Sus scrofa: one gene and its partners. The protein of the gene in region 1 interacts with the protein of each later gene in a pairwise test. Links are inferred from orthologs where the notes say so. Each region holds a gene or a part of one and is shown in the gene's direction. Other genes may lie near its edges.

Region 1 (6,086 bases):
TTTGTAATTTAAAATGTATTTGACATTTAAGGATAATAAAGAACATACACTTTTTAAAGGTTTTTTTGTTCTGTTTGTTTTGTTTCTTTCTTTCTTACATCTTTGAAGTAGGCAAAGAGCAGACTGAAAGAAATTAAAGTTGGAAGAATGTAGAAAATATGAGAAGACAGAGAAAATAATGGGCAAATGCACAAGAGACAGGAGCCTTTAGGCATATGGATTGTTAGAACCAAGAATCAAATATGGGTTAGATGCATAACCTTAAAGAAAGGTTTTTTTTTTTTTTTGCTTTCTGCAAATCTGGCATTGTACACTATTCTTTCATATATAGCAATCACTTCACCACAGTTTAGCAGCATTCTCTCTTCTTAGGGACTAATTTTAATTCTTAAATGATTTCCTTTGGTATGCTAACTGTCCCTGTCTCAGGTCCTTCTTATTTCCATGTGACATCTCCAAACTGAGCACACTGGAGAGGCTTACGGGTTACTTAAGCAAAAAGGAGAAATTTAAAATTACTTTAGTTTGAACAGTTTTAAATGAAGTAGATATTAAATGACTAGATATTCAGCCAGAGTTAAAGTTCCTGACTAGCTCTTTGAAGCTTTAAGAATTATATTACTTTCTCTCAATATTATCAATCTGTATTATATAGTTAGGTAGTTTTACTTAAAGTCTCCCGTCGACATTTCTTTTGTATGCATATACTGAAATGATTTTATTTAATAAAAAAAGAACATCTCCTGTGTGGATTTTAAATTTCCCTTATTAAATATTTATATTTTCAAAATGTCTTTATTTAATTGAGTGAGGTGCTTGGTGCCATTTCAAAATAACCTCAGGTGGTAGGTGTAATGACATATCAAAGATTTGACCTTTAGCATTTTAGGATTCTATTTGTCTGCATTTTCTTCTGCATTCATTTAGTCTTAATTTATATGCTGTTTCTCTGTGTGACTTAATGAGCACATGTATTTGGCATAAGATTCATTAACAAAAAGAAAATATATCTGAATACATATTATTTCTGTGCCGCCTGAGTAGTGATTTTAACTTCATTTATATCTCAACTGTGACAAGTAGAAAATGCCCTGTATAAGGCTGATCAGTATTTGTACAAACCTCATTCATTCTCATTAAGTGTTCAGCCAAATAGACCCTGGATCTACTAAACTGATGCCTGTTCTCTTACTTCTCACTTCTTTGCAGTCAGCTTATTATATTCTTTTATTTACCTAGAGATACTTTATTTTGTAATTCTTTGCTATTACTTTTAAAGAAAATTGAATGTAATATTTACACTGATATAATTAACATCTTGCAGCAACTTTGTGTAGGCTTTGATAGCAAAGCTAATCATTTGTCTGGGTAGCTTTCAGCCTAAAAGCAGAGAAATGGATAATTATCAAGCGTAATATTGTCATACAAAAATTATTTTCATTTGCCCATTTAAGTATGTCTTTATTGATTTTTAGAAGTGGATGTTTCTAACTGGAGATTTTTGTCAAATAGTTATTGGTCAGTCAGCCTCCCTATTTATGTTTACATTATTTATTTTTATATTTTCTCAGTTTACACAAATCCTTATCCCAAGAAGAAAGTCTGAAGGATCAGTTTAACCATACCCTTAGTACCTATGAAGAAGCTTTGAAAAACAGAGAGAACATTGTTTCCATCACTCAACAACAAAATGACGAACTATCTATCCAACTGCAGCAAGCTCTGACAGATCGAGCAAACATGGAATTAGAGCTTCAGCACACCGTGGAGGCCTCCCGAGCAGCCAATGACAAAGTTCAGAAGTAAGTGAAATGACCTTGCATAATTTCAAAAGCATGAAACAAAAAAGAACAAAAGTGCTATCTTTTAGCAACTAAATCATATATTATTTATTATGCATACTGTTAATAGTTGAAGACAAAAGTAGATTGAGCCAGATGAACTTTTTTAGAGTGCCTGTCATATCCATATTTGGGGTCAAAAGTCATTTACTTGGGAATCACAGGTACTATTTAGGATAAACATCTTTATTTAATAAGTGATCTTCATGAGTTCATTCAGGCCATATGATTAAAATTGTTTCATGAGAAATAGGTAGTTATTAGCAATGGGAAGAGGCAGTCAAGTTGCCAGCTTTCCTCATTTAGCTTCACAATAATCCTGCTTGGGTTGAGATCATCTATGACCTTTCAGTCTGAGACCTCTAGCTCATAGAATCCAGGACAGTGAAATTAATTTTCTTATGTTCCTCTTCTGAAGAATTCAATACAGCTTTTCAAAGTATGTGATTATAGTTGTTTATTTTCAGTAATCTTTGTGTCTTTATTAAAGCTTCAGTAAAGCTGCATAATCATAAGTCTTTAATGATAGCCAGCAAAACATTAACATAACTTATCAAAGAAGTCATTTGTTAATTTATGGGACTCGAATACTCTAGCAAAATTTTCTAAGGCAGCTTTAATATAAAAGAACTTGTAATTTTAATTGAGTGCTTCTTTACTTATTAACAGCATTTTGTCATTCACACACATAATCACATTCAATTTCTAAGACATACTTTTTTCCTTAAGTTTTTTTCAGTTTTATAGTATGAAGAAGTTCTTACTTCTCACTACTTTTTATTGAAAATAAGTCATCTCAAGCATTCCCGCAGGATCCTTGAAATTATATTTTGATTAATAGCCCAAGATCAGGTAAATATATAATTGAGACTGTTTTAAACCAGATTAGGAATTATGCATATTAATCTTTATTATCAATGTATGTACCTTGAAACTTATGATTTATGGTATTATGTTTTTTATAGGTTTTTATAAAAGGAGTTCTCTTATAGCAGTTTAAAGATCCAGTATTGTCACTGCAATGGCCTGGGTTGCTGCTACGGCATGGGTTTGATCCCTGGCCCAGGAATTTCCATGTGCTGCAGGCACAGCCCCCCAAAAAATAATAATAAAAATTCTAAAATTAAAAAAAGTAAACATTAAATTTATATTCAGTCAGAAACTATATCAAGTTATTCACAATGTATATTAACATTCTACGAACACCAAGATATATATATATAGGTAGAGCTCATTTCATTGTAAACTATAGATCAGTAACTTTTGACAGTTAAGATCTGATTTAGCTCTATTTGCTTTAAGACTACAAATACTTAAAAATTTCAACTTTTTTTATATGTAATCCTTTAATTTCTCTACATAACTAAAACTCCCTAAAACAGTGTTTCCCAGAGAGCAATTAGATTTCTAAAAAAAAATATTTATAAATGTTGTCAACTTTTTTTTGTCTCATCAGCTATCAGTTTTATTTTGTGAAAGATATAACTTTACACCCCAAGAAATAAAAATAACATTTTCTCAGATAATACTTTAAATAAGTTTAACCTTTTGAAAAACTCACTATACTGTTCTTATTTTTCACATTTAACAACAGACAAATCAAGACTTTTTTCATGGAAATGGCATGGACAATCCATGGACAGAGTTTAAGTGCAACAATTAATGTCTTTTCTTAGAATTAAATGTTAAGTTTTAATTTAAATGTTAAATCTTTTATTCTGATTTCTGGCAGTCAGACCTAGATGAAAGATTACCAGTAATTGGGAGTTCCCATTGTGGCGCAGTGGTTAACGAATCCAACTAGGGACCATGGGGTTGCAGGTTCAATCCCTGCCCTTGCTCAGTGGGTTAAGAGTTCGGCATTGCTGTGAGCTGTGGTGTAGATTGCAGACGCGGCTTGGATCCCTTGTTGCTGTGGCTCTGGCATAGGCCGGTGGCTACAGCTCCGATTGGACCCCTAGCCTGGGAATCTCCATATGCCGTGAGAGCGGCCCTAGAAAAGGCAAAAAGACAAAAAATAAAATAAAATAAAGATTACCAGTAATTGCCTAAGTATTAAATTCAACACTCCACTTCTAATTATACTCTATTATAAAACTATATATGATCATGGTAAAATAAGATGCTTGTGTATCTTCAGCAGTATACCATGGTAATTTAAAAGCTCAGTCTCTGGATTCACAATGCATAAGTGTGTGAACTTAGACATTTTAAAACACTGTGCTGATGTGGACAATAGTATGTGGACAGTAATACTCCTATCTCCTAATGTTGTAAGAATTAGATGAGATTGTACATGTGATGCTTTGAGAGTAGTGTGTGTTGCATAGGCCCTCCTTCTCTTATTACTTCTCTCATATGCACTATCTCATTCCTCAGAAGGGCACTCACTACCTTCGAGGCTAAATGCCTTTATATACATTAATCTCTCTGCTTGGAGCCTTTTGCCCTTTCCCCTCATGATAAACATATTCATCCTATGAGATGCACTGCAGCATAGAAGATAGAGGCAAGCTTCGTCGTCAATCAGCCAGACCTATGTTTGAATCTCTGCTTTCTTGTTATCTCTGAGATTTAGGACAAATTTCTTATCCCCTAGAAGCAAAAGTTTTTCAGTTAAAATATTTAGACCATTGCCCAGGGCTTCACAGGGAAAGTTGATGTGGGAATAAACTGGATGTCATGTAAAAATGCCTAATTTAGTACCAGTTACTTTATTATAAGCATTGTATAAATTTTATCAGTAGTATCATCATATTCATCAAATTAGCAGGATTAGTTCAATTGCCTTTTCTCTACAAAATTTTCTTCAACTTTTTGGTTTGTTAAATCACTCTTTTCTGTGTGTTGTCATAGGTTTTTGTTTGTTTGTTTGTTTGTTTGTTTTGGTTAAAAATTTCTATCCTGAAAATAAAGCCCTCCCATTTTCCTGTCTCTCCTGTCTCCATGAAGAGTTCAGCAGTTTTAGCACTGCCCTTGTTCCCTCACTCTTTCTTATGATTCATATTCACTTTACCATCAGTCTCTATTATCTGTTGCCTGAGTATCTCCTGATTTCCTCGCCCTCTTCCCTAGTGAATTGTATTAGTTCAGGCCCTCGTCATTCCTCATGACTATTGAAATAATCATAAAACTAGTTTATCTGCCTCTAGCTCTCTCAAGTTTACCTTCCTCATGACCACCAGACTTAATTTTCTGAAACATAAATTCAGTTATATTACTTCCCTGTTTAACATCTTTCAGGGGCTCTTTGTCACCTGCAAGTTAAACAACTTAGCGTGATATAGGAGGCCTATCACTGGCCTTCTCCTACTGTTCTGGTATCATTTCCCTCCCATGACCCCTACCACAGTATCTCTGCTTGTGCTATTTCTTCTTAGAATATATTTCTCCCTTTTTACTGGCCAGGTTTTTGTTACTCCTTAAATTCCAGCCTAAATGTTGCCTCTGTGATGCTTTATTTTTTTCATTTTTTAATGCTTTCATAGTACTTAGTCCATACTTTTATTAGTGGTCTTAATCATCTAGGTGTTATAATTGTTTTTATGTCAGTATCCTATCGACTCTCTGCAAAATTACCCATCATTGAGCTTTTCTAAGACATAGACAGTGTTCTATTCATCTTTTTATTCCTGTTGCCTTACACAGATGCCTGCTGTAAAGTGGGCACTCCAAAAATGCTTCTAAGTTTATGAACTAGAAACAATTTAATAGTTTGCTAGAATAACAGAAAAAGGTAAAGACAGGTCAGGTCAGGAATACACAGGAAAATTTCAGATGTGCTTTGATCTGCTTTGGCTGTAGATAAAGTTTTTTTTATCCCAACCCAGTACCTAGAGCTTACCAGTTTCATAGAAAAGCATGGCCTCCCTCACTGGCATCCCCACTCCTTCTGCTCTCCTCAGAGTTAGGATCTCTTAGGGTTAGGGTTAGGGTTAGCTTTTAATCCTTGTTCTAACTACCAACTTTCACCAAGTTTAATTACATTTAAAAGACCTAAAATCTTCAGTAATAGGAGAAAGAGAGCATATACTGTTTCTAATCACTGTAAAATCTTAAATTTGTGTTTTGTTTTCTTTCAGGGTCAAATATTTTTCTTAAAGTGTTAAACCTATATGAGTATACTTGGAAAGAAAGTTGTGCAGAATTACCATCCATAAGTTAGCCAGTATTTATGGGCAGATGGTCACTTATAGGGCAAATGTAATAAATGCCAGATCTCATTGCCCAAAAATAGCTTCTTGG
Region 2 (6,086 bases), on another chromosome or scaffold:
ACTTGAGTCAGTTATAAACCAGGTCTCCCAGTTCTCTTGCTTGGGTAGAATTTCCAGCTCTAAGTAAAAGGACTTTGAGTTTAATGCTCTTAAATTTCATCTGATATATTCAGCAACCTGTCAAAATCTTGTTAAATCTTGATTCCGTCACCCCACTTCATTAGGGTGCCCTCCCACTTAGTCATCAGCAGATTAGTAAGCATGCCAATTAGATGTCATTTATGTGATTCAACTTGACCGAGCCAGAGTCACACGGCAGAGGCACCAGAGATTCCTTCCAAGTCAGCACCTGATAATCAATCAGCATCTGAACTTTGGTTAAAATTGTTCACCGCCCCCCCGCCTCCAGGACCTCCTGTTAAGTGGTAGAGCCATTTCCATGGGAGGGTGTCTGTCTCATGGGGGTGGGCAAGGGGCTGGGCTGCCAGGGGGCAGCTTATTTCCCCCAGGGGCAGAGTCCTTCCTGGTCTCCGTGCCAGGCCTCCCTGTTGGGTGCCGTCGACAGGAGGCCTGGCCACTCTGAGGGGGTCGTGAATTTTGCAGGTTGTTGGAAGCCCTGGTGTCATTTCTTGATTTCTCAGAGAAGAAGGCCAACTCAGCCATGGCACTACTCACAGACTTGGCTCTGGAAGAGAGGTTAGTTTTTATTGCGGGAAATTGATACTTCGTCCACTTTTGTCAAACTGTCTGTTCTAAATTGTGCAGCGCACAGGAGGCTCAGCCAGCCGAGCATCACCAGGTCACTGGGCAGGAGGGCTGATGTGCAGGGGCTGTGGTCAGCCGCTCCCGTTCCAGTCCCTCTGGGTGCAGGGGACCTGGCCCCCAGTGCGCTTGGAAGCAGTAATGTACTTAGAATAGCACCCCTCCCAGTAGCAAACCTACTACGTGTCAGTGAAGCTTTTCCCCTCATCAGTGACTGGTAGGAACCGCCTGGCAGACACGTGTTGAATAAGTGAGAAAGGGAGCGAGGGAAAGGGGGGGGACACACAGTAACCAGGTAGAGCCCCCTGGGCTGTCAGTGGCCTTATGAGTTACTTTCCCCCCAACTTTTTCTTCTTTGCTTAGCTGCTGCTGGGGAAGACAGTAAAGGTCGTAGATTTTCGTAACTCTTAGGTTTTTAAAAAAATTTTTTTTTCTTTCTTTTTGTGACATACGGAAGTTCCCAGGCTAGGGGTTGAAACAGAGCTGCAGCTGCCAACCTACACCACAGCCACAGCAATGCCACATCTGAGCTGCCTCTGCAACCTACACTGCAGCTTGCAGCAATGCGGGATCCTTAACCCACTGAGTGAGGCCAGGGATCGAACCTGCGTCTTTGTGGATACTGGTCTGGTTCTTAACCCACTGAGCCACAACGGGAACTCCTCGGGTTTTTTTTTGTTTGTTTGTTTGTTTGTTTTTAATTTTCTCACCAATCTTAGGTGTCTTACTTAGAAACCGTCACACGATAAGTGAGAGCTGCTTATACTGGTAGCCAGCATCAGCATGGGCCGGGAACGTACACTAGCCACTCTAGTGGGAGGAGGTGTGTGTGTACCTCGGGGCCCTCTTCGCGGCTGTGACACGTAAACACACTCACACCATGCCTCCTGTTTGCACAGCACATATAGACTCAGCAGGTCGGGGGCAGGAGTGGTGGTAGGTCAGTTCAGCAGAAACCTAGGGATTCTGGCAGCTTCTAAGAGAGCTGCCCTCTGAGATCTCTTGTTTAACATTGAAGGCAAGTCCTCAGGCTTAGAAAAATTAAAGCCACATCACCTACCCAGCGACATTTTTTGGTTCCAAATGAATCATCTACGCAGGGGCAGATCAAGAGGGCCGGGGGGTTGCCAGGCTGCCCCAGTACCCGAGACGCTGTATTTATGTTAAAGTTTGAATGCTGGAGAAATACATCACAACTAATGTTCTCGTGACAGGTTCCACGTTTGGTTCCAAGCCAGCCTTCCAGGTGCGCTCCCTGCGCTGGCAGCCGTGCTGGTGAGCAGGCCCTCATTTATCACCTGTGACGGACCCACTCGGGAGCACGAACAAGGCTGTTTAAACACAGTTTACCCTCCAGAACTCCTGTGGCCTCCTGGGTTGCTTTGTCATCTATCCACAGCTGGAATTTACACAAGGCTTGGTTATTGAAACAGCTGCAGTGGGGACGGGTGGAGGCAGCATGTGGACCGGGCTGGGGACATGGGAGGACCGCGACACTGGGGCTCCAGGGGGCAAGGGTGGAGAGTTAGTCTGTCTCCATCGTCCCCTCTGACCCAAGTCCCATCCTCGGTGTGACATGCCACCCCGTCCCCTGAACAGAAGTCATCGCGGTCAGCGGGCAGGGGTGGTGCTCACAGCTGATGAGGGAGAAACTCAGCAGGGGACGGGTCCTCCAGGAGAGCACGCTGTGACTGCATGCTGTCCCTGGCGAGCCCCAGAAATTTCAGGGACCTTGGAGAGCATATCAACACCCCCAATATTTTGCAGCTGGGGAAAGGGAAGCTCTGAGAGGGGACAGGACTTGCCCCAGTGGCCCCTGCTGGTTGGCAGAGTCACTGGGATTAAGCCCTGGGCCTCCCGGTTCCACGCCAAGTGCTTCGGGGTCTGCCCCTCTGTGTGCCACCTTCCCATGGCCAGTGTGACCCCATCGATGCCCCCGCGTGACCTCACGCTGTCTGGTCCCCAGACACCTTGGGGAGGGAGGGATGGATGCCTCTAGAGATTATTCTGGCATCATTTGTCTGCTCTCCACAGATTCGCTTTCTCTTCATTCCCTTTTAGAAGAGAGATCCCAGGGTCACCAGCACGTCAGCCCTCTGCCAGTGCATTGCCATCCTGGGCAACCTCAGCGCCGAGCCTGCTGCCCGAAGACAGCTGTTTGCCTCTGAGGAATTCGGGGATGCCTGCTTGGGGCTCATGGTATTTTAGCTTTCCTGTTCAGAGCTGGTCTTTTACCTGCTTTGGGGGAGTTGCCTTCTTCTTAATTATCTGGCCTTTCCAAAACTTCTGCTTGAGGGGACTGGGGCCAGTGGCTTATCCCGCTGTGACTGTAGGTTTGGTGGGCAGCTGGCCTGAAGGATTCCTCCAGAACAGGTCTCCTCCACTCCGGAGAGGTTGGACAGGTTTTCTGTGGAGCTGGCTTGAGCACCCATGTCAGCAGCTCCCTCTGCAGTGTGATCCCAGGACCCAGCCAAGCCACATTGCATGTCAGAGGCACTGGACACTCTGTGCCAGTCTCCTGGCCTGATGCTAACTCATAAACCAGTGTCTGATCTTCCAGTGTCACTTAGATTCAAGACATTGTCAATTTAGGGAGTGTGCGTGATGCTGAAACCATGGAAACCTGCAGGAAGGTCATTGATCACCCTGTTTTGTTTCTAAAGGCCAAGTGCGAAGAGGACATGGACCTGTTCAGAGAAGTCATGTATACCCTCCTGGGACTCATGATGAACTTGTGTCTTCAGCCCTCCTTGGTTTCTGAGGTACAGCATTCTTTCCTCCCTGCCTTAACTCCTTCTGGTGCATAGACCTGACCTCACTGCCACAAAGAGAACAGGAGCTCATGGACTCAGATGCCGGCAGTGAAAGTGGGGAGAGCTGGGCACACACTCTGTCCCTGCTCTGCTGAGGGATGCCTGAGCTGCCCCATCAGGTACTCATTCTGAAAACCAGCTGAGCAGCCAGGGTGCTGAGCACAGTGCTGGCTCAGCATTTGCAAGGTCAAATATGACGTGGTCCCCGCTCTCAAGGCCTCGCCCTGCACTTGGGGAAGATGGACGTGGGAAAGAAATGAGAGCAATAGAAGATGCTATGAAGGAAATACAGACAGATGTGGCCAGGCGGTGGTGAGGACAGAGCGGGAGGGGTCGGTTGCACGTGAGCACTCAGAGGGGAGGTGCAGATGACCAATGACCCTGACCATGACCAGGGCAGGCAGACTCCTCTCCCTCTTCCTGTCCTGTAGGTGTGGGCCATGGAGGTGAGTCGGAAGTGCCTGTCCCTGCTGAACAGCCCGGATGGAGGAATCCTCACAGTAAGCTCCTCCCTGGGAAATCCAGAAACTGCTGCCTTTGCTGTTCTCTGGTTTGGTTTGGTTTTAGTCCCCGCAGAAAGATATCTGGACTGGCTTTCTTGCTTCTGTTTCTGACATTTGGCTAAGAAAACTAAGAAAGGCCTGTGCTTAGCACTGTGCCCCAGAAGGAGAATGCTGATGTGACTCAGGAGGCTGTTCGCCACCCTCCTGGGATGTATTCTTCCCTCGAGTTAGGATTCACCCCAACTCCTCTGCCTTAAAGGGTCAGGGCCCTAAACCTAGAGAAACAATTGGGGTCACATCCAAGGCGGGTCTGGGAAACCAACCCTTTAAGGATCGCAGCCTGGGGGCTGGTTCCAGGGTTGTGAAAAGGTTCCAGGCAGACTTAGCATTCTTGTTTGTGGCCAGCATCCCACAACTGCACTGTCCCTGAAGTCAGTTCGGACTTAGAGGGCAGAGGTCTTTAACCTGGGCTTCCGGAATATGTGGTAGGTCTTCAGGTTCCCTGGACCCCCTGCAATTGTATAGAAAGTTCTGAGTGTATGTGTGGTGGAGGGTGGGGGTGGATCACAGCTCTCATCGGAGCCTCGAAAAAGTTGCATGACCCCCAGAGTGGTAAACGCACCATGGTTCTTGGGCACTTGGGCCTTTCTGGGCACTGCACCTAAAGCTAGGCCTGCGTGAGTTCCCTGCTAACCCTTCAAGGACTCTGGGCCATTGTATCCAGGACTCTATGTGGCCACAGCTGGGAGCAGCCCCAGCAGAGAACCTGGTCCTCTGATACGGGGCTCACTCCACTGGCTTGAGCCTGGGAAGAGATGTGTACTGTCAGCTACAGCCACAGTCTACACCTCAGGACGCAGATCAGGGAGACAAGATGGAAAATATGATAATACGCAAGTTTGTCCCTTCTTGCTCTGGAAACTTCAATATTTTGTAACAACCTATAAGGGGAAAAAATCTGGAAAACAATATATATATATATATATAGAGAGAGAGAGAGAGAGAGAGTCTATATATATTCAAATATATATTCATATATAGAGAGAGACTCTAAATATATGAATATGTATCTGAATCACTGTGCTGTACACCTGAAACTAACATGATATTGTAAATCAACCATACTTCAGTCGGGTTTTTTTGTTGTTGTTGTTTTTTGTTTTAAATGAGACTGAAGGCATTTGGGGGAAAAAGGCAGACACCCCCACTGACAAAGTGAACAGGCAAGAGGTCACCAATGGGTAAGTTATTTTAGCTAGTTTCTGGAAGATGGAGAACAGCTGCACGAGTGGGAATGCATGGGGCAGGGCTGGAGAAACCCTCACGTAGAGGACAGAGGGAGGGGAGCACGGCCCGGAGGAGCAGGTCTGCCGTGCAGCTCTGTGGAGGAGATCGGGGCTCCAGAACGCCAGCTACGGAAGTAAGAGATGGGGCAGCATTTGGCAGCCAGGCATCTCTTCCTCAGGCATAAAATATGAGTGTTTTTTTTTTTTCCTAAAGGAATTAAAAGACCAGAGAAAACACTTTTTGCTTTGCCCCCTCAGCACCTGTTGGTGGACAAGCACCCCATAAACACAGCGTACCCAAACATGTTACTTTTTGCATAAATGTGACTGGAAAGCTAAGGGTCACCAGGCATTTCCAAAAAGCCCTACAAAATAAATAGAAAAACCAAGATAAACAGAAAAGTTGACTCCAAAAAATAGAGATGATGGGGAGACACGAAAAAAGTAGTAAATATCATTTGTGTCTTCAGAAAGATTGAAGTTAGTGTTACGGCCGTAAAACTAACAGATTGCTATTTCAAAAATCAGAACTGGAAAATAAAATCAATGACATCTCCTAGAAAATAGAATAAAGACACAAAAATTCAGAAAAGGTAAAGGAAAAGAAAGTTTAGTGTTGCAGAGGATCAGTCTAGGAAGTCCGCCCTCTAATCTGACCCTGCAGAGCACGGCAAGGGATCCAGGGCACGAACGCTGGTCCTGCGTGGGGCTGGGATGAGCTGGGCCTCTGTGTGCCCTTTGAATCACCTACCCAGCAGCTTTATTCTTGTATTATCATTATA
Region 3 (5,460 bases), on another chromosome or scaffold:
TCTCTCCTGTACTGTTCCTAACCAGTAGTGAATAGCTTATGCTTAGTTACCTATGATACCTTGGTATAGGGGTCCATTTCAGATTAGTCTGTTTATAACTATTTCAGAATATAGCAGAACTGACAGTTAACTTAATTGGATCCTCAGCTAGCTACTGTCAGTGAAACTTTAGATTGCGTCACTACTTCTGCACAGACACCTATGCTCAGACATCACCCATTTTTAGGATTTCTAGGATTTCTAGTTTTTAAAGATTTAAGTCTCTTCTGACATCACATAATATGCCATAGATCCAAATCAAATTTTATACTTAAACTTGCTCTGAAATGGCTCTGGGCATAGATGCATACACATAATAAACTATACATGCCCATGATTCGGGAGAAGGGGTAACAAAATATTAGCTCTACATCATTAAAATTGGGTCAGACATATGAGCTTATTCACCTCTGTTCTTGCTTGGTCTTTGCATTGTCTTTAGTACAGTCTTGTTAACTGGTTTTGAGATCTAACTAGGCAGTATAGGACAAACTCTATCTAGAAATGACCGTTACTTGTTATACACATTAAATATGCATAAGAACTCATCTGTCCAAATTTCAAGGTCCACTAAATATGTTTTGAATTAAACTGTATCTCATTGTAGTAGTTGCTTTAGATATGTACACTTTCATTTATAAAGCCATATTAGTTTAAGGAAACTCCACCTATACATTTGGAGATCTATTGGTATGGAAGCCAAGACTTGTTACCTTAGGCAGAAATGTTACGAGCAATCCACTTTTGCCCTGGCCCTAATCTTCACCACAGAACCTGGGGATCAAGAATCTGAGTAGAAGTATCTGCCCTCATCTGGTCTTCTCCCTGTCCCCTCCTCTCCATCTAATCAATAGAGCCTGTGGGGCCCGGATAGTCAGCCGACCAGAGGAACTAAGAGAAGAAGATATTGGGACAGGAGCAGGCCTGTTGGAAATCAAGAAAATTGGAGATGAGTACTTTACATTCATTACTGAGTGTAAAGACCCCAAAGCCTGTACCATTCTCCTCCGGGGGGCCAGCAAAGAGATTCTCTCGGTGAGTCAGCCTTGGAAGTGTGACTGAATGAACTAGGTCATTCTGTTTCTTGAGAGTTTCCCAGAGGTAATCATCCTGTTGTCCATTTGTTTTTTACTGTTTAAAAAAAAAGTTTTTTAAACATAAAGTTTACCAGAGTTCCTGTCGTGGCTCAGTGGTTAACGAATCCAACTGGGAACCATGAGGTTGTGGGTTCAATCCCTGGCCTTGCTCAGTGGGTAAAGATTCTGGCATTGCCGTGAGCTGCGGTGTAGGTTGCAGACGAAGCTCGGATCCCACGTTGCTGTGGCTGTGGCTGTGGCTCAGGCCGGCAGCTACAGCTCCAACTGGACCCCTAGCCTGGGAACCTCATAGGCCTCAGGAGCGGCCCTATAGAGCCAAAAAGCCAAAAAAAATTTTAAAATATATCATCTTAACCACTTTTTTTACGTGTACGGTTCAGTGGTGTTAAGTACATTCACATTTTCATGCAACAGATTCTCAGAACTTTTTTATCTTGAAAAAACGAGGCACTATACCCATTGAACAATGATTCAGTTATTTCCCCATCCCATACCGAACACTGCTTCCCTATTTTTACGTTGAAGTTATAAATACTACTTTTCTTTCCACTGAGTGAGGTTATTAAGTAACTTAGCCAAGGCACATAGCTAGTAAGTAGAGAGTTTCAGAGTTGCCACTACACTGCAGCCTCCTAGAGTACACAACTAGACAGGATAAGAACAGGGGTATAGCTCTGTCAAGCACAGTGAACAAAGCCTGGGTAAATAGCATCTGCCCTGCCCAAAAGGTTTGAAAGACCTTTCTTAGTTTGCCCTCCTTGGTTTATCAAACTTGGCAGTCAGGAAGTCCCTGGTGCCTCTGACTTGTCCCTGACTCATCAGGCTTTGGTGTTATGGTGTCTGTTTGCTTTCCCAAGGAAGTAGAACGCAACCTCCAGGATGCCATGCAAGTGTGCCGCAATGTTCTCCTGGACCCTCAGCTCGTGCCAGGGGGTGGGGCTTCTGAGATGGCTGTGGCTCATGCCTTGACAGAAAAATCCAAGGCGATGACTGGTGTGGAACAATGGCCATATCGGGCTGTTGCCCAGGCCCTGGAGGTCATTCCTCGTACCCTTATCCAGAACTGTGGGGCCAGCACCATCCGTTTACTTACCTCCCTTCGGGTGAGTTCTTTTCCGTGCTTTTCTCTTGATGGGGTAGGGAAAGCTGTATTTTTAACCTAAGAGGATGATTTGTGTCTGTCTTTTCTGGTTTTCCTTGTAGCTTGTTCCCTTAAAAACATCTTCTCTTTCTTAATTTTTGACTTGATGTCATTGCCATTTCCTCTTGTCTGTACCTTATAATCCAGTATAGTTGATTTTTATCTAATGGTCTCTACCAGGTTATTTGTTCCTAGTATTTTCCCCTTTAACTATGTTTGTTCCAACCATAGGCCAAGCACACCCAGGAGAATTGTGAGACCTGGGGTGTGAATGGTGAGACAGGTACTCTGGTGGACATGAAAGAACTGGGCATCTGGGAACCATTGGCTGTAAAGCTACAAACGTACAAGACTGCAGTGGAGGTGAGGCACTCTAAGACATGCTATGCTGTTTATTTCCAGATTACCAGAAAACTGTGTTTGATCCAGTCTTGAAAGGGGAGGGATAGAAGGCAGAGTATTCCACAAAAGATCTCTCAAGGAATTCCATCCCCCTACTTATTAGCTTTAGCTCATTTAAAAATCAAGATGGAGTTCCCATCGTGGTTCAGTGGTTAATGAACCCGACTAGCATCCATGAGGACTCAGGTTCAATCCCTGGCATCACTCACTGGGTTAAGGATCCAGCATTGCCGTGAGCTGTGGTGTAGGTCGCAGACGCGGCTTGGATCCCGAGTTGCTGTGGCTGTGGTGTAGGCTGGCGGCTACAGCTCCAATTGATCCCTAGCTTGGGAACCTCCATATGCCATGGGTGCAGCCCTTAAAGGACAAAAAAAAAAACAAAGTAACATGGCACAAGCTGCTTCCCTTGCTTTGGGAGAACTGCATTTTACATTCAGGATTCTGAAAGAGTAGATTTCAGATAAAATGGTAATTATGTAGGAGGAGCTAGGTGATGTGTCTAAATGAAAACAAGTGTCCTTTCCTTTGCTGACCTCTTTGGGGCTGTGGTTATTCTCCTAGACGGCAGTCCTGCTGCTGCGGATTGATGACATCGTCTCAGGCCACAAAAAGAAGGGTGACGACCAGAGCCGGCAAGGTGGGGCTCCTGATGCTGGCCAGGAGTGAGCAGTGGGCAAGGCGACCTCAACGCACAGAGCCAACAGAGTCTCCCCCTTCCCTGAGCCAGACTGCCAGGGACACTGTGGACGTCTTTGTTTGGAAGGGATCAGTTCAAGGGGCAGCCCAGTCCCTTTCTGTCCCAGCTCAGTTTGCAAAAGGCACTGACATGTAATTCTTCTCTATTGTAAGCTTTCCATTTAGTTTGCTTCCGATGATTAAATCTAAGTCATTTGAGACAGTTGTTATGTGTTTTTCAACCTTGGGCCATATTTCTGCCTCCTGGCAAGGAGGGAGGAAGCAAAAAACCTTACTGGAGAGAGAGAGATGGGAATGAGGTCATTAAGTATCTTTCCCTTTTTGAGGGGGTATTCACACTTCTTAGTAGGGACTGGTTGGGAGGACTCTTGGATTTCAAAGGAGGATATTGGAAAGCTTAAAGAAACACCACTTTGCATTCACCACCCAAAGAACAGGAGGAACCTGTCCAAACCATGGGTGTTCATTGTATGTGATTGTGTAGAGCAACACCCAGTATGTGCTAGGGTTTAGGCATTTATTCTGAAGAACCTAGAACATCTTTTTTTCTTTTTTTTATTATATCCTATAGCTTTTCAGAATCCTTCCTATCTAAAATTTATCTCTGCCCCTTCCCAGTGTTCTTCCTGATTCCAATCTTTTCTGGCTTATTTTCCCGGCATGCTTGTGTCCAGTAGGACTTTGACTTTCCCTGCTAGCAGAAACAAAAGATTTAAATCTCAGTCTGTGCTTTGTTTTTAGCAAGACAGAAAAATCTTATATTGACCCTGAGGTGCTCGTGGTGGCTAGGTGGAGCTAGCCTTTGATTTCTTCAGAGTCCTTCCTCCTGACTACTGGGCCTTCCATTGTCCCCTTTGTCCTTATGACTCATGCAGTCAGCCTGTATCTCCTAACCTGACCGCAGGATTTAATGTTAAATCTTGAATACTAGTTAGAATAATAGCACACAGTGCCTGTTATGTGGAAGATACATTCTGGTCACTTTGCATATGTTAGCTAATCCTTCCCAAGGACCCTATAAGATAGGTAATAACCCTAGTTTGTGTTGGGTAATCTAAAACATAAAGTAGATTGTTCAAGGGTCACAAAGTTGGTAAATGGCAGACCTGGAATTACTCTGTAGGCAGTCTTTGGAAGCCACGCATTTACAGCTGGCTGTGCTGACTGAATGGAGGTGTGCTGTGGAAAGGGGTCTCGGGAGACTTTCTGCTCTGTTGATGACTAGTATTTAGCTTTCTGCTTAACTTTGTCCAAAGTCTCAGCTTTTCCTCTTTGAGGGTCTCTGAAATAAGCCTACTACCTACCTTTTGCTGAAATCCATCTATGCTTGTATTAATTCCCTCAGAGCTTTAAGACCTTAAAAAATGATAATGGGTTAATTCTCAAGTAAATAAAAAGATCTTGGGAGTTCCCATCGTGGCTCAACAGAAACAAATCTGGCCAGGATCCACGAGGATGCAGGTTCGATCCTTGGCCTTGCTCAGTGGGTTAAGGACGTGGCTTTGCTGTGAGCTGTGGTGTAGGTCTTGTATGCAGCTCAGATCCCTTGTGGCTGTGGCTGTGGTGTAGGCTGGAGGCTACAGCTCCAATTTAACTCCTAGCCTGTGAATTTCCATATGTAGAAGGCCCTAAAAAAACAAAAAGATACTGAAGAAATAGCTCCTGCAATACTTGAGAAATTTTAGAGGAAGGAATTGCCTCTTGTTCCTTAGACTTTTAGAGGCCCGTTCTGGTTTTAGCTCTAATGGTTAAGCACTTGGATAAGAACGTAGTAGTCTTCCCTGCTATCATCATTGCCTTTTTTTTTTTAAGCACATGTGATGGTCCTGAATGTGTGAAAATTCCTTCTGGCATGTTAGATCAGTCTGTACTCAAGCCTAGCTTTCAAAGCCCGTTTTTGCTGTTCAAAGCTTAAATTTAACATAGTGATTAAAGGCTACCCAAGCCACTTTGTTGCCTTGCATGAACTCTAAGAGATTCCAGAACAGTTTTGCTGTCACTGTGACTTTGCTCATGGTCTTTCCTTGTCAAATTCCTAGATTCAGCTAAATCCTGTTCCCTACCCTCATAAAGCAGTATTTTTGG

What was found. The genes of interacting proteins can lie anywhere in the genome.
Region 2: the proteins of MIPOL1 (region 1) and TTC12 interact in binary tests that used the Homo sapiens proteins (3 or more experiments, as listed by UniProt). The two-hybrid records come from large-scale screens. The link is inferred for Sus scrofa from reciprocal best matches to the Homo sapiens genes MIPOL1 and TTC12.
Region 3: the proteins of MIPOL1 (region 1) and CCT3 interact in binary tests that used the Homo sapiens proteins (3 or more experiments, as listed by UniProt). The two-hybrid records come from large-scale screens. The link is inferred for Sus scrofa from reciprocal best matches to the Homo sapiens genes MIPOL1 and CCT3.

What each region holds. Positions count from the first base shown.
Region 1 is NC_010449.5:62,553,379-62,559,464, reverse strand, and holds part of MIPOL1 (mirror-image polydactyly gene 1 protein), read left to right. Parts: intron 1-1,571; coding exon 1,572-1,802; intron 1,803-6,086.
Region 2 is NC_010451.4:41,022,182-41,028,267, forward strand, and holds part of TTC12 (tetratricopeptide repeat protein 12), read left to right. Parts: intron 1-543; coding exon 544-636; intron 637-1,916; coding exon 1,917-1,977; intron 1,978-2,763; coding exon 2,764-2,901; intron 2,902-3,365; coding exon 3,366-3,464; intron 3,465-3,946; coding exon 3,947-4,015; intron 4,016-6,086. UniProt on the Homo sapiens protein: Cytoplasmic protein that plays a role in the proper assembly of dynein arm complexes in motile cilia in both respiratory cells and sperm flagella.
Region 3 is NC_010446.5:93,749,768-93,755,227, forward strand, and holds the end of CCT3 (T-complex protein 1 subunit gamma), read left to right. Parts: intron 1-893; coding exon 894-1,074; intron 1,075-1,993; coding exon 1,994-2,239; intron 2,240-2,508; coding exon 2,509-2,640; intron 2,641-3,240; coding exon 3,241-3,345; 3' UTR 3,346-3,573; downstream 3,574-5,460. UniProt on the Homo sapiens protein: Component of the chaperonin-containing T-complex (TRiC), a molecular chaperone complex that assists the folding of actin, tubulin and other proteins upon ATP hydrolysis.